2 linked regions of the Saccharomyces cerevisiae S288C genome follow. The gene in region 1 interacts genetically with each later gene. Each region holds a gene or a part of one and is shown on either strand. Other genes may lie near its edges. The genes, in order: DAN1 and ATC1.

Region 1 (11,404 bases):
GGGCAGAAAAATCGCTATATAAGAAAGTATTTCAACACTAGATTAAATTATAGTATAATTTTTAATATACTAGTATTGCCGACAATCTCTGAAATTTCAATACTACCACACAGAACAGGACTTGCCAGGGCCAGTCCGAGCCAGCCTAACTCCAAGACCACGTACTAAGTGAATTGCTACTCCCCCTTACCACGACTACAAAGAGCTACACGGCCTCCCGGCCTAGGCCGCTGCTACTTTCAACTGATGTCACCGAAAAAAATAACGGAAAACGACAGTTCAAGAAAAAAAGAACGCAGGAAGAAAAAGGAAGCAAAATTACAGAATGTACGGCTGTTTAAAAATAAATAGTGGATGCATGGGTGCTTCCACGCGTCTCTGGGAAAAAAAACCAGGATATTTTAATGTTTGTTTATTTGTTTATTTCCTGCTGAACTGAATATTGAAAACATCGAAAAAATGCAGTACCCAGCTCTCCATTAGGACTTTTTACGTAATGACGAAAATGGACAAGCTGCGCAGGAAAGGACTACGAAAAGTATGCTGCCATAATGACAAGATAAGGCGCAACACACGTAATCATGACTAATGGTTGCACAGACGGTAGGCCAGGAGAAGGATTAGATCTCGTGCCGAACGACAGCAAGCTAGCTAGACTATGTTATCTGAGTGTAAACGAAAGCGCAGCAGTCTCTGCAAGAGCACGTGCGACGTGTCTGGTGTGCAAAAACCCTCTAGAGAAACATTGCTAAGGTTTACCGATGCAGGAAATCTTTAGTTCTAAAAGATGAAAGTCGGAAAAGCCAAAAAGAAACCGGAAATCTTCTCTGCGCATTGTTCTGTGGCCACGGCCTTCCTGGACCCGTCCTTCTTTTACCCGAACTTTGTCGCCCAAAAGGCATCTCATTATAATGACAAAACTGGATCTGCAAATATTTGGACATATATCTCCAGAACGGGCTCACTTCTCCTCTTCACCCAGGTGGTATATAGGAAGAGTAAGTGGACGCATCAGTCCGCGACATTTGCGGACTGTATATATTGCCAGTCAGGGCAGTCGCCAAGTGTGTCTCTTTCGTGTAGCGACGCACGTCAGACATGGATGCAACATCGAGGATGGAGCAGCCTGATGTCTTTGTAAGCAAACTCTACCACCTGCTGCAGGGGAACGCTTACTCGAACATAATACAATGGTCGACTGATGGCAGCAAGCTCGTCATTTGGAATCCGGACCAGTTCACCAAAGTCATCCTAGAGCGATTTTTTGGTATTCACACCTTTGCAGCATTCGTTAAGCAATTGAGCAAATATAACTTCCAGAAGGCGGGCCGCCCGGACTGCGTGGAGTTTTCCAACATTCATTTTCAAAAAGATAACATTAATAGCCTCTCACTGGTTAAAGCTCATCAGTCTGCCGCCACTCCCAATGTCGCCGCCGTCAATAATATGAATAAGCAGTGTACTTTTCACTGGGACCCTTTCAAAGTGAACTCCATTCTAAGCAAGGCCATCGGCAAGCCTTCCTTCGAGAAATTAGTGAAAAATGTTGACAGGCTTCAGGGCAATCTTGATGAGCTTAAGTCGACAAACGCAGATAGTCTGCGTATTATAAGGGAAATTAACGCCAGCTTACAGACAATCTCCTACCACCAGTTTCACGCCTACCAAACCGCTAACTTCCTTCAAGAAAATTTTGAAGCCATCAAAAAGGTTGTATGCCCGGACTCTTGTCTACAACACCAGCAACGCCAACCAAAGCGCCCCAAACGCTACTCGTTGCTGTTACTAATACCAAACGCATCCGAATTGTCAGAAACACCTTTGATGCGCTTCGCCGGCGTGTTCGAATTTATGAACTGCTCTTTGGATACGGCCACTCAGTGGCACCCGCAGTTGCATCCCGAGGCATACGACCTTCTTTTCGTCACCGTGTCGCCCAACATGCAACAAGAACATCTCATCTACTTCAAGAGACTGAGAAACCTACTCCCAAGCTTTCCTGTAATAGCCATTATTAACAGACCCGTCTCCCCTCAAGATACCAGCATTGCTCCCTCCAACTACTCTCGCTATTATTTCCACCATTTTTTGCAGTTGGGGTTCAGTGACATCCTAGTTAGCCCCTTCACCCCAACACAACTTATAACGCTCCTTTCCAAACATCTTCGAACGTGAAAACCTGCCTCTGAGGGTCATTCACGACCTAGCATACCACTATATACGTGTACGATTTTTTTTTTCTGTGACCGCACTACACCAAAGTTTAATGTTCCATTGGCCCCGGAACCATTCTTGCAAACGGCGTTCTTTTTCCGCTTTCGGGTGACACTTAATTTAGCTTCTTTTCCCTCTCTGACACCTCTTGTTATCTAATCTGTAGATCCGACTCTTTTTCTTTTTGGTGTCGTTCTTCTATGTCCGTTTTTCTGTCAACAAAAACGGAAATAATAGGTAGAAATTAAGAGCCGTACGTGAGTGAGAGGAGATCCGAAATGAGCTGACAGTATAACTAATATAAGCTTACAAGATATTCGACTATTTCCTGGGAAAAAATTCATTCCTTTGAGAAATCCTTAATAAAAACAGACTAACTACTAAAATTTTAGAAATTTAAGGGAAAGCATCTCCACGAGTTTTAAGAACGATATGACCTTGGCACCCCTAGACGCCTCCAAAGTTAAGATAACTACCACACAACATGCATCTAAGCCAAAACCGAACAGTGAGTTAGTGTTTGGCAAGAGCTTCACGGACCACATGTTAACTGCGGAATGGACAGCTGAAAAAGGGTGGGGTACCCCAGAGATTAAACCTTATCAAAATCTGTCTTTAGACCCTTCCGCGGTGGTTTTCCATTATGCTTTTGAGCTATTCGAAGGGATGAAGGCTTACAGAACGGTGGACAACAAAATTACAATGTTTCGTCCAGATATGAATATGAAGCGCATGAATAAGTCTGCTCAGAGAATCTGTTTGCCAACGTTCGACCCAGAAGAGTTGATTACCCTAATTGGGAAACTGATCCAGCAAGATAAGTGCTTAGTTCCTGAAGGAAAAGGTTACTCTTTATATATCAGGCCTACATTAATCGGCACTACGGCCGGTTTAGGGGTTTCCACGCCTGATAGAGCCTTGCTATATGTCATTTGCTGCCCTGTGGGTCCTTATTACAAAACTGGATTTAAGGCGGTCAGACTGGAAGCCACTGATTATGCCACAAGAGCTTGGCCAGGAGGCTGTGGTGACAAGAAACTAGGTGCAAACTACGCCCCCTGCGTCCTGCCACAATTGCAAGCTGCTTCAAGGGGTTACCAACAAAATTTATGGCTATTTGGTCCAAATAACAACATTACTGAAGTCGGCACCATGAATGCTTTTTTCGTGTTTAAAGATAGTAAAACGGGCAAGAAGGAACTAGTTACTGCTCCACTAGACGGTACCATTTTGGAAGGTGTTACTAGGGATTCCATTTTAAATCTTGCTAAAGAAAGACTCGAACCAAGTGAATGGACCATTAGTGAACGCTACTTCACTATAGGCGAAGTTACTGAGAGATCCAAGAACGGTGAACTACTTGAAGCCTTTGGTTCTGGTACTGCTGCGATTGTTTCTCCCATTAAGGAAATCGGCTGGAAAGGCGAACAAATTAATATTCCGTTGTTGCCCGGCGAACAAACCGGTCCATTGGCCAAAGAAGTTGCACAATGGATTAATGGAATCCAATATGGCGAGACTGAGCATGGCAATTGGTCAAGGGTTGTTACTGATTTGAACTGAAGTATCGCTATTGCTACGTAAAGTAATTAAAAGTTAAAAAGAATAAAACTAGAGCGTTTTTTCTACTGAGTTAAGGGGTCATGTCAGAATATAACATACCCTTTGACATTGTATATATGAATTCCTGGATTTTGCAGTGATCTGATAAAAAATGTATGTCGAAACCTGCAATTATCCTTTCGTTTTTTTTCTTGTCATCTAGTGCTGGCCTATCGGTATCAAGGACATCTTTTGCGCGGATAGAAAAGGGCCCATACATACCTTAGAAGCAACTCAAGACAATTCATGTACTTTTTAAACCAACTAATATTTCAAGACGTTTCCGTAATGTCGGTGGATAAAAGAGAAGATATGAGCAGATCTTTCCAAAAATGTTTAAACTTGAGATACCCTATCATCCAGGCCCCTATGGCGGGGGTCACGACTATTGAAATGGCCGCTAAGGCTTGTATTGCGGGCGCCATAGCTTCACTACCCCTATCCCACTTAGACTTCAGAAAGGTCAATGATATTGAAAAGCTTAAACTGATGGTTTCACAATTCAGAGATCAAGTAGCCGATGAATCTTTAGAGGGCAATCTCAACCTAAACTTTTTTTGCCATGATATCGTTGATAAACCGACCGATCTTCAAACAGCTAACTGGGCGAAGCTATACAGAAAGTCTATGAATGTGCCGATTGATATGAATGAGATTAAATTCGATAATGGTAATGTATCTTTTAAGGCATTTGAAAAAGAAAATGCTCTTCAAGATTTTTTCCAGTACCTATCAGATGGCTTTAGGCCTAAAATCATTAGTTTCCATTTTGGCCATCCGTCGAAATCTACAATAGAATATTTACAAAAAATTGGAATTCTAATTTTTGTGACTGCCACCTCTGTAAGAGAAGTTCGATTGTTAGCACGTCTCGGCATTAATGGCATAGTGTGTCAAGGCTATGAAGCGGGAGGACATAGAGGAAATTTCTTAGTAAATGACCCCAAAGATGATGAAAACTTATCAACTGTACAATTGGTGAAAAGAACAGTTGATGAACTTGCTGAAATGAAAAATAAAGGTCTTATACATGCTACTCCCTTTGTCATTGCAGCAGGTGGTATAATGGATTCCAAAGATATATCATACATGTTATCACAGCAAGCAGACGCTGTTCAAGTGGGGACTGCTTTTCTTGGTTGCAGTGAATCCAATGCATCAAAAAACTTTTCAAGCCCCTTCACTCGAGAAACAACAACTAAAATGGTTAATATAATATCAGGAAAGCCTGCAAGGACCATCTCTACTCCTTTTATCGAAAAAGTCATTGCTAATTTTCAAGGTGAGGAGCTTCCTCCATATGGCTACATGTATAGTGCTTTCAAGCAAGTAAGAAAAAAGTATCCAGAATTGGCTAACTTTATTTTAGCTGGACAAGGATTTCAGAATGTCCAATCAGGAATCACAACAGACAAGAAAATTGAAACTATGGGCGCAAGATTGAAAATTGACGGAAAATAATATAAATACATATAAAAGACCTGATACTTATTGACACAAATTTTCTGGATGACCTTTTTCTATATGATATATATACGTCGCTATTGGATCGTAGGTTACTTGGCCATTATTTGAGCGTAACCGTTCACAGGATGTGGGCTTTAAGGAATACAAAATCCAAATATGGAAAAAATTTGATATCAATTTAGGGCTTTAATATCTAAAGGTATTTATTTTTTTCACAGTTTTTTTTCTGTTAAGCTGTCTGCAATAAGGAATGCTCCTGACATGAAATTCGAAAAGGACCGGAAATAGTTGGAGCACAAGACTGCAAACTAAAAAACAAATTTCTTTGGAATTTCCTTACGCTTATAGTATATATCTTATAAATATTAAAATTAAGAGAATTCAATTATTTTACATCATTTATACAACTGTACAGGGCCGCACATGATCACTATAACAATAGAGCGGCGGCACCAGCAATAGCAGCGGCACCGAAAACACCGTTATTGAACTTGTTAGCACCGTTAGTGGTAACGTCAATAACACGAGATGCTGACGATGTGACAGAAGTAGCTGTAGATTGAGCTTTGGAGGAGACTGGCTTAGTCACAGTTGAACAGACGTTATTTGAACAACTAGTTATGGTAGTTTCAACAGTGGAAGCTTGAGTCTTTGTGACGGTGCTGTCAGTACCATTTTGGACCACTGGAGTGACTGAGATAGAAGATGTAGAAGAAACTGGAGCTGTGGTATTGGCAAAACTAGCAGAGCTTGCAACAGAGCTTGCAACAGAGCTTGCAACAGAACTTTCAGCAGAACTTGCAATGGTGCTTGCAGCAGAGCTAGATTCAGATGAAACAGTAGCTTGGGTGGAAGCAGCGTTTGAGCTGGTCTCTGCTGAACTTTCAGAGGAGCTAGAAGACTCAGTGGCGGCACTAGAAGCTTCTGAAGTGGAGGTGGAAGAAGCCTCTGTGGTAGAAGCTGGTACTGCAGTAGCAATACCTTCATTCGCAAGTGCTTCGGAAATAGCACCCATCAATCTAGTAGAGTACCATGGCACACCGGTGATCATTCTGGTCACTTCATCACCTGAAATACCAGTCAACATGGTGGTGAAATCGCCACCGGCAAAAACAGCCTTGGCAATTTCAGGTGGGTATGTTTCAGTCTTATGCAAAGCCTGGAAAGCGTAATATTCAGATAAATGGGCGCCAATATCAGAAACGTAAACAGCCAATTCAATCAAATTGACCCTTTCATCATAAGGGGATAGAGTGGTGGTCACGGATGCGGCGGTTGCACTTGCCACTAATGCTGCGGCGACAGCTAATATACTAATTCTAGACATTACTTGGGGTATATATTTAGTATGCTACACTTTTATCTGAAAAAGAAGAAATAGTACCGTGTCGACATAAAAATAGTATCATTTAGTCGTGCTATTTTATACGCAGTATTTTCAATCATTTCTATTCAATGAGTACCCAGGGACCCTTTTGCATTTCTAGCATTCTCTGTTCCTGAACGATGTTTTGTTAGAGGCCTCGTATAGATCTTGGCATTTTCAAAGGCACGCGTTGTATTGTTTTATTGCCTATCAAAGGAACGCGCAGGAAACATGAAACTTTTCAGAGGAGCGTCTACGGAGGATACATTCATCAATTTTTCCTCATAAATTAAACGATGTGTACAAAAAGGACGAATTGACCCCGTCGTTCGGCGAAACCTTATGTATTTTCCTGGCCATATGTGCTAAACGACAGATAAAATAGGAAATTCTCCCCATTTTCGACTAATAAGATAAGCGGGAGATAGCATCATATGAACTTTTGCACTCAAACGAAGAAAGCACGTGAGGATTGAAGAAAACGGATCGCCGAATCCAGCGTGAATTGAGCTCAACAATTTTTAACTATATCAATCTCTTTCACTTTAAACACTACCACTTAAATCTTTTTAAAACGCTTTGCCCAATGACCCTTTTTTTATTAAGGTTGCTGAGCTATTTTTTCTATACTATTGTCAAACTCCAAAGATATTTTGAGCTTTATTTTCTTGCAAACAAAATACCCTACTGCTTAATAAATGCAATGTATACATAGTTTTCAAGGTACATTATATTTTAAAGTTACCTCAGGCCTGTTTGCCCTTGCATTCTACAGTCCCTTTGTAAGGGTGTGAGACAAAAGGCCTCGTTAGCTACGACTGTTGAAATCGTTTGAATTCGGCTTACAATCTAACTTTGACTGCGCAATTGTTCATGAATTTATAGTGTGCTTGCGAGGGGCAACTTCATACGAAGGCTTGTAGGACCCCTAAGTGCATCCATAAACATGCTCAAAGATTGTCTTAGAAACCACAAGGAGAACGCACAGTATGAATTAAATAAGTTGCGCTCTGCTAGAATATTTTGACGATTACAAAGTCAGAGATCGAAACATTTCCGCTGTGCAACTAAGTAATTTTCCCAATCTTTGGAGAAAATCAATAATCACAAGATTAGTACTTATCCTCTTGTAGGCTTCTCTCTTTCGCTATAAATAGAGCAGAAAAATATGATACAGAAGGTCGAAAGTTTGCTTCGCTGACTGAAGCTTTCTGTCAAGAGTTGACAAAAACATACAAGATTCAGTATTGATAATAAATGGCCTGCACTTAAGACTCAACCATCCCAATAAGTTACCTAGTTGTGTTACCTAAGCTAGGAAAATACACATTGAAAGATGTTTTACAAAGTATTGTAAAGGTACAATGCATTCTAGGCCGAATGTTCATTTCGGATTGTAATATGTAGTCAACGATAACGAACCTCATGGTTATGGTTATTTCTGTTCCAAATTTGCAAAATAGATCTTCATTGTCGTTGTCGGAACGGGTGGTTTATAATTTTAGTAACCATAGTAACTGAATAAAGTGACCAAACAGTATACTTCATAGCTCCAGGCTAGGAAACAAGATACTACTGCGAAACTAGCGGAAGAAGTTACGTTAAAGATCTATTAATTCAATGTTAATTCAAATTTAATATACGTAGGGATGCGAGTTATTACATTGGAAATATAGCAAATCACTGAAATACCATCATTTTGAATACATTCGTCATCGCCGCATCAGTTATACGTTTCTGCTATACCGTATAAGAATACTTGCTTCTATTCTTAGTTATACTGAATTTTAGACATTAATAAACTACTAACGGTTGCTACTACACTACACTATTCTTCTACCAATGTCGATGAGAGCGAACTCTTCAGAAAGCAGTTTACTTGAATAAATTTTTTCAAAGGCCCTCATTTCTAATGCCTTGTGACCTAGAATTTAGCAGCGTCAACTTTATGGAGCGTTATTTCTCAATTCCATCTTTGTGCCGCGTAGTTCTATCTTACATAACTTTATTTTAAGAAGAGCTTTAGTTCATGTTCTTGGAAGAATTCCTTTTTTGACACGATTTTTAACCTAAAGGCTAAATTTTATTTAAACTAACAGTGAACAAAGTATTTAAAGCTTCATATGTGAGTTGTCGAACACGTCAATAAACGGAGGTAATAAAATGAAGGATGAGGGAAAAAAAAAACCATAATTTTAGGCTGAAGCCCATATTGTGATATTTTTAATGTTTTCTTAGAAAAATTAAAAAACTTCTCAATTAAATGTAAAATTTTACTTGTTGGCGATACCTTAGAGGATTCAAATTTAACTAGTGTTAATATACGAACTGGTAACACTAATGTTTAGATACCTGTATATCATACAAACCATTCAAAGTGTATAGGAGTATGTTCACAAACCGTAGTATTATGTGCTACATGAATCAAGTATAGATTTAAAATTTCTTTCAAGTCAATTTAAATTATTTTACAATTGTTTATATGCTTGTGAAGATTATATTGTATCACTATAGCAGTAATAAAGCGACAACAGCAACGATAGCGGTACCAAAAATGTTATCTTTATCGAAATTATAGGCACCGTTGGTATTGATACTGACAGTATAAGAAGCAGATGAATGAGCAATGGAAGTAGCCGAGGAGGCTTTTGGAATTGGTGAGATGACTTTGCTGGTAGCGGTCGCGATTGGTGCAGTTAACATGGTACAGGTTCCACCTGAGCAGTTGGTCACAGTAGTTTGAGTGATAGACAATCCGGTTCTGGTAAACATGCTAATCCCTGCATCGACAGTAGTCAGGGTGGTACAGGCACCCGCAGAGCAACTGACTTTAATCGCTTTGGGGATGGTCGACTCTGCATTGTTCGATGTAGTGGCTTTGGAGTTGAAACTACTAACCGGAGACATCAGCGTGGTGCAAATACCACCCGAACAACTAGTAATAGTAGTTTCCATAGTTAGCAACTCGGTTTTAGTAGAGGCGACATCTTCTTCATTATCTTCGCAACTAATGGTAGCGGTGGTAGTTGCTTCGCTGGTGATTGTAGTAACTGGAACAGTCAGGGTCGAGCAAACACCACCAGAGCATGTTGTTATAGTTGTTTCGACCGTGGAAGTTTCTGTAGTTGTTAATGTGTTCGCCTTAGCATTAATAGTAGTAACCGGAGACATCAGCGTGGTACAAATACCACCCGAACAACTAGTTATAGTAGTTTCCAAAGTTAGCAACTCGGTTTCAGTAGAAGTGATATCTTCTTCATTATCTTCGCAACTAATGGTAGCGGTGGTAGTGGCTTCGCTGGTGATTGTAGTAACTGGAACAGTCAGGGTCGAGCAAACACCACCAGGGCATGTTGTTATAGTTGTTTCGACCGTGGAAGTTTCTGTAGTTGTTAATGTGTTCGCCTTAGCATTAATAGTAGTAACCGGAGACATCAGCGTGGTACAAATACCACCCGAACAACTAGTTATAGTAGTTTCAACGGTAGAAACTTGAGTTTTCGTCAAAACACTATCTTCATTAGTACAACTACTCTTACAGCTCGTGATGACAATTTCATCTGTTGATAGGTTTGTAAATGTTGAGGTTGCATTACGAACATTTTCTATCGTGCTGAACAGACCGCTACTGATGGTGTTGGAACTTCTGGCATCACTGCAATTACTTCTTGAGGATACTAAGAGAGGGGAACTTGATGCAAAAGATGCGACTGACGATGTAGGTTCCATAGAAAATGAAGAGACGATCGATTGGGAAACAGTGAAAGTACTTAAAGTGAAACTTGACATATTTGATGACGAAAGATATAAGGAAGAAGTCCGCTCAGCAATGAAGCTAGTGGATGTAGACGTAATTGCAGTAGACGACTCTGGAGAGGAACTGATTTCACTGAAGGGAATATTAGGAGAAACTGAATCGGTAGAGCTAGTGACCACAGTTGAAGAAACAGCAAGTGGAGTGGAAGGCGTAGCAAAAAAGGTAGTAGATTGGGTAGAGGAGTTACCAGAGACATCAGATTTAGCAGAAACAGTGGATCTGGTAAAGAAATCAGCAGCCTTGCTCGAGGAAACAACGGCTGAAGTGAAAGTGGATGTGGCAGATAGACTTTCAGTAGAAGAAATGGATTCATCAGAAGAAGGTCCAACCAAAGAAGTGGGTTCAACTGATGAACTGATCCCGCTTGAAGTAAGTACTTCAATGGAAGAAGGAATCTCAGAAGAGGAAGTAATTACACTAGAAACTATTAGTTCACTGGAAATGGTGATTTGATTAGAGGAGATAGATTCTGCGGAAGTGGTTGCTTTACTGAAAGAGAGAGGTTCAGCAGAAGAGGTGATTTCACTGAAAGTAGACCCGAAGGAAGAAACAGGTTCTGTCGTGGTCACTTGACTAGACCTGATAGGTTCAACAGAAGAGGTGACTTCACTTACAGTAGTAGGTTCAGCGGATGAAGTGACTTGACTAGACCTGATAGGTTCAACAGAAGAGGTGAATTCACTGACAGTAGTAGGTTCAGCGGATGAAGTGACTTGACTAGACCTGGTAGGTTCAACAGAAGAGGTGAATTCACTGACAGTAGTAGGTTCAGCGGATGAAGTGACTTGACTAGACCTGGTAGGTTCAACAGAAGAGGTGAATTCACTGACAGTAGTAGGTTCAGCGGATGAAGTGACTTGACTAGACCTGGTAGGTTCAACAGAAGAGGTGAATTCACTGACAGTAGTAGGTTCAGCGGATGAAGTGACTTGACTAGA
Region 2 (11,350 bases), on another chromosome or scaffold:
AGCTATTCGATTATTAAAGTTGATTTTGAAATTTGGTTACACAAATCCCTCTCATTCAATTCCAACTGTAATTGCTTTATTTGCCTCTACTAGCCAGTATATTCGTCATGTCGCCTATGAGTTGTTAGAAGATCTTTTTGAGAAATACGAAACGCTAGTATTCAGTAGTTTATCTCGAGGGGTTACAAAAGCTATACATTATTCTATTCATACAGATGAGAAGTATTATTACAAGCACGATCATTTTTTGTCTTTACTTGAAAAATTATGTGGAACTGGAAAAAAAAATGGCCCAAAGTTCTTTAAAGTTCTGAAGAGAATCATGCAATCCTATTTAGATGATATCACCGATTTAACATCAACAAATAGTAGTGTTCAAAAGTCCATTTTCGTTCTCTGCACTAACATTTCGAATATCACATTTGTTTCTCAGTACGATTTGGTGTCCCTACTCAAAACCATTGATTTAACTACAGATAGATTAAAAGAGGTTATCATGGATGAAATAGGTGACAATGTTTCATCGCTATCCGTATCAGAAGAAAAGCTCAGTGGAATAATTTTAATACAGTTAAGCTTACAGGATTTGGGTACTTATCTACTGCACTTATACGGGTTAAGGGATGATGTGCTTTTATTAGATATTGTAGAAGAATCAGAATTGAAGAACAAACAACTCCCTGCAAAGAAGCCGGATATCAGTAAGTTTTCCGCACAGTTGGAGAATATTGAACAGTATTCATCAAATGGCAAGCTTCTTACATATTTTAGAAAACACGTGAAGGATACGTAAATATATTGCACTTAAAATATACATAGTATTAATAATCATTTTGCATTTTCCATGCTGATTTTTCACGCAGGTTTTGAGAAGCAACTATGAAATATTGAATTTCATTTACACCATCGCATTATATTAGTTCAAACTAAACCTTTTTTTTCTTGCGGACAGGCAAAATATTAATACCTGAGTTAGTTTTCATTCCATTGTGTGTTTTTACAAAGGTCTTTTCGTTACAAGAGGGCACTATTGCTAAGTTTGGGTTGATATTGTTAATAATAGCACCCACATTCTCAGAAGACCTTTGTGAAATCTGAGATGCAGTGCAAGATGAAATTGAACCTAAAGGTGCCTTCTCTGAAAGAGTTGGACTTATAGATGCAGCATTGTTCCTTAAGGCATTCATTTCTTTTGATTTGACAGTCTCTGTCACAGATATTTCCTCCGCTTTAACATTCAGTTTCATAGACTTTTGTGTATCTTGCCTTATATCCCGAATGACTTCTGGTTCCACCTCCATCGTTAACGGGATGACTTCCCTTCTTCTTTTCACAGCAATTTGCGTTGATATTCGAGGAGCTTTCTTGAATTTTTTTGGATTTGTGGGAACTTTGTTTTTCCATGAATTTCTCTCTTTAGTGGAGGTTTTAATCAAATACGGTTTTCGGAGCGGCTCAGCTACGATAGCAAACCGTGTCATTCCCTTTTGTGATTGATGATCGCTCAGCAGTACTATAATGGAACCACCGCATTGCTGCTCTCTCTTCTTTAGGCGTCTCTCCCTTATTTCCTCAACGGTTATTTTTTCTTCTTCTTCGTCAGAGGAGCTTGCGTAATCTGGAATAAAAGTTCGATCGATTCGAGTATATATCTTGGGCCAATCTTTGCCACTAACCAATTTCAACAATGAATCACTTGAGGCTGGCCTTCTAGCTAAATTGCGGCTTTTTTTTTTCATAGATTCAAATTTATGTAACATTGAATCAATCAGCTCTTTAGTTTGGTAACGTTTAGTCTCCATTTCATTCTCGTCAGTGGGGTCATTTATTTTAGTAACCTTCTGTAATGTTACTTCCCAATTCAACATACCCAGTCTGTCTGAAATTAATGAAAGCCTGTCTGCTTCATTTTCACCATTTACGATGTCCGATTGAATCATTCTATTTTCTTGCTTCAACATTTTCTTGTGGTAAGGCTGATACGTGCTATCAGGAAGCAAATCATCAGTTGGTTTTCTAATATTCTGGCTCAATTCATGATGTTCAATTTCTAGTGTCATCTTTGTAATTGTCTCTCTCTTTTTCTTGATCTCATCATCGACATTACTCATGAACGGCGACTTCATCACAGGTTTCTGACAACGCGTTTCGTCAACATGCTCATCTACAGTAAAGCAGGACTTAGATTTCCTTAGATGTCCAGCATTTGGGTTTATCCTGCTGACTAATCTTAACTTCCTTTTAGGGTTAATTTCGTATTCTTCTGTATCAAAATCGAATTTTTCAAATTCTCCATGACTATTTTTAATCTCAGACCTCAGCAATCTCTCAGAAGTATTATTTGCTTCTTCTATTGATTGAAAAATACCCATTGATGAACTCTCATATGCTTTTAATGCTGTAGAAATTTTCGGTTTTCCTTTTTAATCTTGCTACTTTTTGTTTTGAGATCGCTGAAATCAACTCGCGGGTTAGATTTTCTTATTTTTAAAAATGTAGAACGAACGATTATGGAAACAACAATAACCAAAAAGAAAGGGAAAACAGTACCGCTTCTACTAATCTGTTGGATACATTAGACAATAAGCTCTAGGAAGTATGGTATATCGTAACAGGTCAAAGAGCGTTTTATCTACACACAGCAAGAAGAGCGACGATAAGGCCCACTATAAATCACGTTCGAAAAAGAAATCAAAAAGCAGGAGCAAGAAGAGGTTAAGAATCTACTGGAGATACATATCTATTGTATGGATCTTATGGTTAGGATTAATATCTTATTATGAATCAGTGGTTGTGAAGAGAGCAATGAAGAAGTGCCAATGGTCGACTTGGGAGGATTGGCCTGAAGGCGCTGAAAGTCATAGGGTGGGTTTATTTGCAGACCCACAAATAATGGACGAATATTCATATCCTGGGAGGCCTCAAATAGTTAATTATTTTACAAGAGTGATTGTTGACCATTATCACAGGAGAAATTGGAAATATGTCCAGTATTACTTGGATCCTGATAGCAATTTTTTCCTAGGTGATCTATTTGATGGAGGGAGAAACTGGGATGATAAGCAATGGATTAAAGAGTACACACGATTCAACCAAATATTCCCCAAGAAGCCACTGAGAAGAACGGTCATGTCTTTACCAGGTAATCACGATATTGGTTTTGGAGACACAGTTGTTGAATCGAGTTTACAGAGATTTTCTAGTTACTTTGGAGAAACTTCCTCCTCATTAGACGCTGGAAATCATACCTTTGTACTTTTAGATACAATTTCGCTTTCTGATAAAACAAATCCGAATGTCTCGAGGGTTCCTAGACAGTTTTTGGATAATTTTGCAATGGGTTCACATCCGCTTCCTAGAATTCTTTTAACTCACGTTCCATTATGGAGGGATCCAGAACAGCAAACGTGCGGTCAGCTACGTGAATCCAAAGAACCTTTTCCTATTCAGAAAGGGCACCAGTACCAGACAGTTATAGAAAACGATATATCACAAGAAATTTTAACGAAAATTCAACCAGAAATATTATTTTCCGGGGATGATCATGACCATTGTCAGATATCACACTCATATCCGTTTCAGGGGAAAACTAAAAATGCTCAAGAAATTACAGTAAAGTCATGTGCAATGAACATGGGGATCAGTAGGCCTGCTATTCAATTGCTCTCCTTATATAATCCTTCAGATTTGACAATGGTAAATGCCGGCGGAGAGTATGCATCAAAAACTTACCAAACAGAGCTATGCTATATGCCAGATCCCTATAAGGCAATCAGAATGTACCTATGGGGATTATTATTCTCTGCTGCCTTTATCGCATACATGCATTTTTTCCCAAAATCTTTTAATAATCGCGTAGCAACCATAATGAACAGAGTATTTACACGACCTGATGGTAACACCTCAGATTTGCCATTACCTACAAGTATTTCCAAATCGAAATCCAAAAAATCATTGACACATAGTAAATACGCTGTGAATGATACGCGTTCGATCAAACAATTTCTAGTTAATGCAATTGTCCTTTTTGTTTCTGTGATGCCCATTTTTATTTATTTTTATACTGTAGTCTAGACAGAATTACTGCTATTCTCTTCCAGGATCAAAATGCTTTGAAGGGAAACGTCTGGCTATTTAATATATGCGAATACACCTTATATACAGACAATGAACAAGAGATATAAATTATACCGGGTGTGGTATTACTATGCTCACCAAACAGTTTGCATAACCTCTACTGGATTTGCATTATGTTTTGTGGTCCAAGCTAAAACTGCAGGACTGGGCGTAACACCAATTACTTCACTATACGGGGACAAAAAAGAACACCTAGGTAAGTTGTTGGTTCCTTTAGTTTTATATCAAATTTAGCAAGTCATGACGGCAAATTTCTTTGTAAGCTTTGTTTAAAAGATGGATACAAAAGGACGACTTTCCTTTCAATCTTTCGTTTTTGCTTTTTATTATTCCATAGCAATATAGTGATCATAGTAGTGTAATTTTTAGAGTTTAAAAAACACGAAAGTAGGATGAAGTACAAAAGATTAACGAAAATACTCCATTCTCTTAACAACTCATACGTATATGAAGATTAAATTAATATGGAAGATAAATTAGACAGATACTACACAAATGTGCTTTCAAATGCTGAAAAGGATAAACACACAACTGTCGATAGCGATGACAAAAGTAGTGGCGAGGAAAATTTAGATGAACTACTTAATGAATTGGATAGAGAATTAGACGAGGATCATGAATTTTTGAGTGCTTATCGGTCGGAGAGGCTACAACAAATATCAGATCATTTAAAACAGGTCAAGAAGAATGTTGAGGATGACGGATACGGTAGATTGCAGTGCATTGATAACGAGGCAGATGCTATCCAAATATGTACAAAGACTACTATGGTGGTCATACATTTTGAATTAGAAACATTCGGTAAGTGCCAGTATATGAATGAAAAACTGGAAAACTTGGCAAAGAGGTATCTAACCACGAGATTTATTAAAGTAAACGTCCAAACATGTCCATTTTTGGTTAATAAACTGAATATTAAAGTACTTCCGTTTGTAGTTGGATACAAGAATGGCCTAGAAAAAGTTCGCTACGTAGGATTTAGTAAACTGGGAAATGACCCTAATGGGTTTGATATTAGGAGGCTAGAGCAATCTTTAGCCCATTCAGGTGTTATAGAAGACACATTCGAAATAAGAAAGCATTCATCTGTGAATACGGAACGCTTCGCTTCTACAAATCATGATAGAAGTGAAAGTGATAGTGATTTAGATATATAACTAAATAACCATTACCTCCCTACTAAAAATGACTCGATGGTCTTTTAAGCCATACGCATGAGCGAAAATGGTTCCTCCTGTTCAAACTAAATCGGTTATTCGAGCGTACCGTTGAAAATTTAATAAAACGTTTTGGGGGATTTATAGAAAGTTAAATACGAAATATGCGTATAGTAATGTTTATACATGAAACTCAAAAATGCGACTGTGTTCCTTAAAATAATAAAAGTTGAGTACGAATAACGATGACTGAGAAAGGTAGTGTATATTGTATATAAAATTGGACCATCTTTGTAGTAAAGACAAAAAAACCAATAAATGCAGATAAACTTAGCAGAACTAACTCTAAATTTAACTTTCCTTGGATGATTTTTCATTGAGTTTTTGAGTAAGTTCTAGGATTTGTTGCTTCAAGTCATCATTCTCAACCAATAAATGTGCTCTGTGAATTTCACTATCCTTTAAAGAGTCCATAGATTTTTTCAATTGAATACAAGATCTCGCGTAACCTTCTTTAATAAAATTGAAATTGAGCAGCAATTTATGAGTATTAATTATTCTTGCCTTCATTTCCGAAATTTGACTTATTGTAAACTCATTTGTGAACTTAGCAGGCTTCGTTGCAGATACAATGTCTTGTCTTGCAGAATCTATTTTAGATGTTATATCAGTAATCATGGATTCTATTTTTAGGTGGGATTCATTAGCGTCGGATGAAGCTAACGAAGATGAAGGTGATAGGGATGCAGGGGATAACATGGGTTCATTTGTGGTTTTCAAAAGGGATTTTTTCTTCTTGATGGTGGGTTTATCTATCTTATAGTTCTTTTGTTCTTTATCAGGTTTATGTACGTTATTTTGGTTTGTACTTTTATCTAATGATGCCTTGCCAGTATAACCCTTTTTATGCCTATCGAGATCAATACCAACTAGGCTATCATTAGCACTTCTCTGCATTTCCAAAAGTGTGCTCGAATCGGTGTTGTGTTCATCGTTAAATAAAGATTCCAATGTTAGGTGTTTCTGAGAAGCGATGTCGGAATCAAAAATATCAGTGCAGTCTAAATTATCCATCATAACTTGTTCGAGATCCTTTCCCAAATCTAAACTCTGCCCATCAATCTTTACTGTATCATCAAAATGATTATTTGCCTGAGTGAGCAGCCGATGCAACGTATGTTCTATATTGGCATCATCTGTTAAATCTGTATTCGGATTGGACTGATTCGTGTTCATTATCTTCACGTTTTCCCTATCACAACCTTAGTGTAACTTGAACCAACAAAATTTAAGATGTCAAAACTTCAATCAAGTATTGAGCTCTTCAATAGGGCACTAGCCCTCTGAAATTTTTCATTGAAAATACCGTACCGCATGTTTTTTGGAAATTTTTCATCTCATCGCTAAAGTGGAAAAAAAAAATTCTAGAAACTGAAAAAAAAGAGAAAAAAAAATGACAGAAAATATTTGATTTATATCAAGATGACACGAGTTTGCAAAAAGAGAAAGACACGCTATAGAAACTATTTTGGCAAATTAATCTATTCACTTATTTTTGAGTTTCTGAGTGTAGTTATATGCAAAGAGGCTATAAATCCTTATTTTTTTGAGAAAAAATGCTTGAGAAAAAATGCTTGAGAAAAGATGTATTTTTTTTTATTCGTTAGCATTTTTCCAGATATCGTTGAACATTGCTAGAATACTATCAAACCCGACTTTCCCCTTCACCGCGTTATCACTAAAACGTTTAACGCCCCAGTTTTCTACTTTCTCACTAAAGGTTTTGGTCGGAACACCAGACAGAAACTTTGCATCCTGCTTGAAAAGAGTCACATTCGATGGATTTTTCGGATGAGGAACATAACGTACGGTTTCGTAACACTTCAAAATATGCGGGAAGGTCATATTGCAACTCCTCATAGTTAAAGATCTGTCCCTTCGATCAACGGTGGAGACCTCTCGCACGTATGCTAAATTAGTGTTCCCCACTAAAATGGACATCCAGTGAGGGGTGTTCTGACGTATGGTTATCAGCCGTTCTGTAAGAAGTACATCGCCATGTTCTTTGAGCTCTCGGCGGAGCACATCGACTGCAATAACGTGTGTGGAGATCTTGTTTGGATATTTCATCCAGTTCGCCGTGGTGACTTTCTCCCATGGGTAATCGAATTCATAAGATTTTTGAAATGATTTCATTATTAATATATAAGCTCGAGAGATATATGACTAATAGAAATATTTACTTGAACTTGTCGATTAGAGAAAAGAAAATGCGTTGCTTGGACCGCAGATCCCACTTATTGTTTTCTTGCCAAATGTAACAAGATCTATAGGTTTATGAACTTTCTTCGAAAATCTCATTACTTTTTTTGATAAATAAACGGGCCCCTTGCGGACAAAGCCCTGAAAATTGAAGATTTACGCAGTATCACGTAAACCCAAAAAAAAAAATACAATATCGGTTAAAGTGCTGTTTTAATTTAGAATATATGTTTTACTAATCTATTTATAATCAAGTATATGTGTAATTTGGCTTTTTCCCTTGCCTTGTGCTTAACCTAGTTTTTTTCAGGTGATTATTTTACCGGGCATTACCTCCTAATACCCATCCTCCCATGTTATCCATATCATCTTCGCCGTATAAATCCAGGGTGACGGCTTTTTTATAAACGGGTTTGGTGACTGTAGAATTCGAGTTTGAGTATTTCACTCCTTCAGTTGTTACATCTGTAAAGCCTGCACTATCATTGTCATCATAGAGATTTAGATTGAAATTATTGGAATTTATACCAGTATTATTGTCGTTATCATTATCATTATAGTTATCATTGTCTGGGTGATTCGGTACTATTGTGCTATTAGTCGAATCGTTATCGTCCTCGCGTTCTTTGGGGAGAGATCCAGACATGATTTGGTCTTCTTCCTCGAGATTTAGTAACCTATGACTGGAATTGTTACTATTTTTAATGCTATTCGCCATCAACGCATCTGTAGGCGTTCTGGACTTGAAGTTTAGTGCCAAACCATTCTTTTCCATGTTACCATTCATCAAGGTGCTAAAAAGGTTAACTGATGGTTGTCTTCTCAGTTCTTCAAATGACTTGTTGATCAAATTCTTCTCAAATAGCAAGTTACTGTTTGAATTATTTCTCATTAGTAATGGAGATGCCTGTTGTGTATGTTGTGGAATTGGTGAATTCAAGAATTTTTGCTTCTTACTTGTGTCATTTAATAATTTGGAAAATGCGTTTGATACTGTAGACATGTCATTCAACGAGGAGTTTGAACTACTTGCGCTTGTAGAGGGCGTAGATATTCGGGAAATAAATTCCGGAGGTATCAATCCATTACTAATAGAAGGAGCCAAGTTTCTGTTCATCAAAGATTTCCTTTTAATAAGCGTTGCAGACGATAGATTCTTTTTGTTGTTGATAGTGTCTGTCCCGTCAAAATCACCATCGTGCACGTAGACGTTAGTAAAATGGTTTGAAGAGGTCGATCTTTTAGGTGATGAAGCCCCTGCAGAATCGGGTTGTTGGCTGTTTGGAAATTTCTGGTTGAACGGCTTTTGCAGAGCAGGGTCCATTAAACTCAAGGACCTAAACCTACCCCTTGTTTCCTTCGAATTTTTTGCCATAGAATCTATTCCGGAGGATAACACGTCTGTGCTCGAACCAGAGCGGGACAAAATGCTTGGAGCGTAAAAGCTCAAACCTTCATCGTCACTCTCATCGTCATCGTCATCATCGTCATCATCGTCTTCATCATCATCATAGTTGTCTTCATTTCCACCTTCTTCATCATCGTAATTAAAGCCATATTCATCTGCGTATGAGGTTCTATCCTGCTCTTGTTCCCCTCGTTCTTTTGTATAATCGTCATAATTATTATTGTTGTACAGGACAATTTCCTCATTCTTAGCACGGTCTTGCACTTCGTTGATTTGGTTGTTTAACTCGTCATATACTAGTTCGTCGTTTGATGGTGTCTTTCCGTAGGGGAAGGGAGAAGGCGATCTGGACATATTAGAACTAGAATAGGATTGTGAACGGGAATGTGGATGCAGATGCGATTGTAAATGCAGTGCAGTTCCCGAAGGCTGCTTGCGTAGGTTGGATTCCTGACCAATAAGATTGTTGATTGACGTTGATGGGATAGTTGTGATGGATTCGTTCGTTTTGAACATATGTGCCCTGTTGGATTTTCTGTTGATAGACAACGACCTAATTCTGACGGACTTGTCTTTATTGGAGGTTAAAACCGAGTTTTGAAAATTCAACAACGACGAAGAGTTTCTTTTCAAACTTGTGTTGCTCTGGTCGTCGCCCTTATCTTCGTTAACAGCATCTGAATATTCATGTAGCGCTTTTATTGATTCCTGGGAGATAAGGCTGGTGAGAGGGTGGTCTGACAACAAAGTCAGCAGTGCTTTTACCCCCGTGCTATTCGTGACAATAACTATGGAATCCAAGACAGTCTGGTCTTGCATGCTACCATTGCTCTGGTTTGAGCCGGTGAATTTCTCGTTCAACTTGGTGTAGTACTCTTTGAACGGGAGTGACTTGGAGTTCTGGATTGTCTTAGTGAAAGAACCAATATTCTGCCAATTAATGATTTTTAAATTAAGCAGTTCTGCGTTCAGGAAAGTAGAAAACCACTTGAGAGAGGTGGGAGAAACGTTGATCTGGAAACATAGGTTTAGTTTCTTTTGAACATACAAGTCTTTGAAAGAATTAAACAATTTTTCAACCAAAAATCTTATGGTCTCCACGTAACGTAAAGACCCCGAAGACGACACCAGTACATTCAGATCAAACTTGTTTTCCGGTGTGCTGCGAGAGCTGATCAGACTTTTCAACTCCTCCCAAAACTTATCGTTATCTTCCGCAGTAGATGTGTTGGAAAAACTTTGCGCGATCGAATTTCTAAGCCGATGCAGCTTAAACCGTTTATTCAGTCTGGAAAGCTTGTTATGAGTCATCTCATCGTTGTAGTAGTCGATCGTAGGGATATCTATGTAAAGTAGGATGTTAAGCTTCTTTAGCGAAGGGTACCGGTCCGCCAAAGACGCTTGTACCACTGTCTGCTGCATGTTGGAGTAAGTGATCAGAAACAGCGAGTCCTGTGACTTCACACTAACTTTTGGTGAAGTGGACTGGGCAAAGCGACGCTCATTAATGCTCGCGGCTGCTGCGTCCGTACCGACAGTGTCCATCGTAGTGTAGGCTTCCCAAAATTTAGGATGTGATTAGTAATAGTGGTTGATTGCGAGCTCCGGGATGCGAGGGAGAGCGTGTATGTGTACTTCAAGTTCGCCAACTTCTCTCTTAAATAGAAAAAGAAAAGAAGAAAAAGGAAACGAAAAAAAAAAAAAGTAGGGAAAAGCTGAGTGATGAAGATCCGGGCTGCCAAGATTGGGTTTGAAACGTGTAGTCAGCTACAAACCAAAAATTAAAAGAACAATAGCAAAGAACCTTAGTAGGAAAACAATAAAATAATAGACACGACACCCGTAGAAAGATAGAACGGGACGAGGGGCCGGTTCAACAACTATCATACTTTCTTGTTCAACAACGCGATTAACCCAAATAATAAAAAAGCTACGAGACAAGAACAGACGAGGCAATACGAGCAACGAGCGCAACGAGAACGGTAAGCATGGCAACGGCGCGCACACCCACGCCCCGCAACCGCACACCTCAGCTCAAAGTAACCCACTTTAACGTGACTGGACCTGAGCTGTCTGACTCGGTCGTTTGCAAATAGGTTAACGCCGTCGCTTCTCCCTTTCGTGTACCGTATATCTTTCTTTAATTGCATTCCCTTGTTGTGATTATCGTTTCCCATTGCAGTGAGCTTTCATTTTGGGGACCCTGGGAGTAGGCTGTTTTTCGATAGAGTGAGAGGTGTGGGTTCTGCGGCAGAATGGATACGGGCCGTGGATCACTGTTTACGGGAGTTTTGCTTTGGTGGCAAAATTTTCGCTCGGTGATGTGTTAGTAGTTGTTATTCTGGTAAGAAACGAACGAAAGACGGAAAGGATTATGTATAACAGT

Evidence for each region.
Region 2: mutations in DAN1 (region 1) and ATC1 together harm fitness more than expected from each alone (negative genetic interaction), as found in Saccharomyces cerevisiae (2 studies listed by BioGRID).

Annotation. Positions count from the first base shown.
Region 1 is NC_001142.9:703,098-714,501, forward strand, and holds DAN1 (Dan1p), read right to left. Parts: upstream 6,611-11,404; coding exon 5,714-6,610; downstream 1-5,713. Other genes in the region: YJR146W (uncharacterized protein), read left to right, coding at 788-1,141; HMS2 (Hms2p), read left to right, coding at 1,099-2,175; branched-chain-amino-acid transaminase BAT2, read left to right, coding at 2,647-3,777; YJR149W (putative nitronate monooxygenase), read left to right, coding at 4,063-5,277; DAN4 (Dan4p), read right to left, coding at 9,158-11,404. UniProt on the Saccharomyces cerevisiae protein: Component of the cell wall.
Region 2 is NC_001136.10:824,984-836,333, forward strand, and holds ATC1 (Atc1p), read right to left. Parts: upstream 6,531-11,350; coding exon 5,646-6,530; downstream 1-5,645. Other genes in the region: cohesin-loading factor complex subunit SCC2, read left to right, coding at 1-793; SAS4 (Sas4p), read right to left, coding at 927-2,372; putative lipid phosphatase CDC1, read left to right, coding at 2,599-4,074; YDR182W-A (uncharacterized protein), read left to right, coding at 4,168-4,371; PLP1 (Plp1p), read left to right, coding at 4,602-5,294; UPS3 (Ups3p), read right to left, coding at 6,951-7,490; SND1 (Snd1p), read right to left, coding at 7,876-10,509. UniProt on the Saccharomyces cerevisiae protein: Involved in cation homeostasis and in the regulation of the cation stress signaling cascades. Also involved in bipolar budding.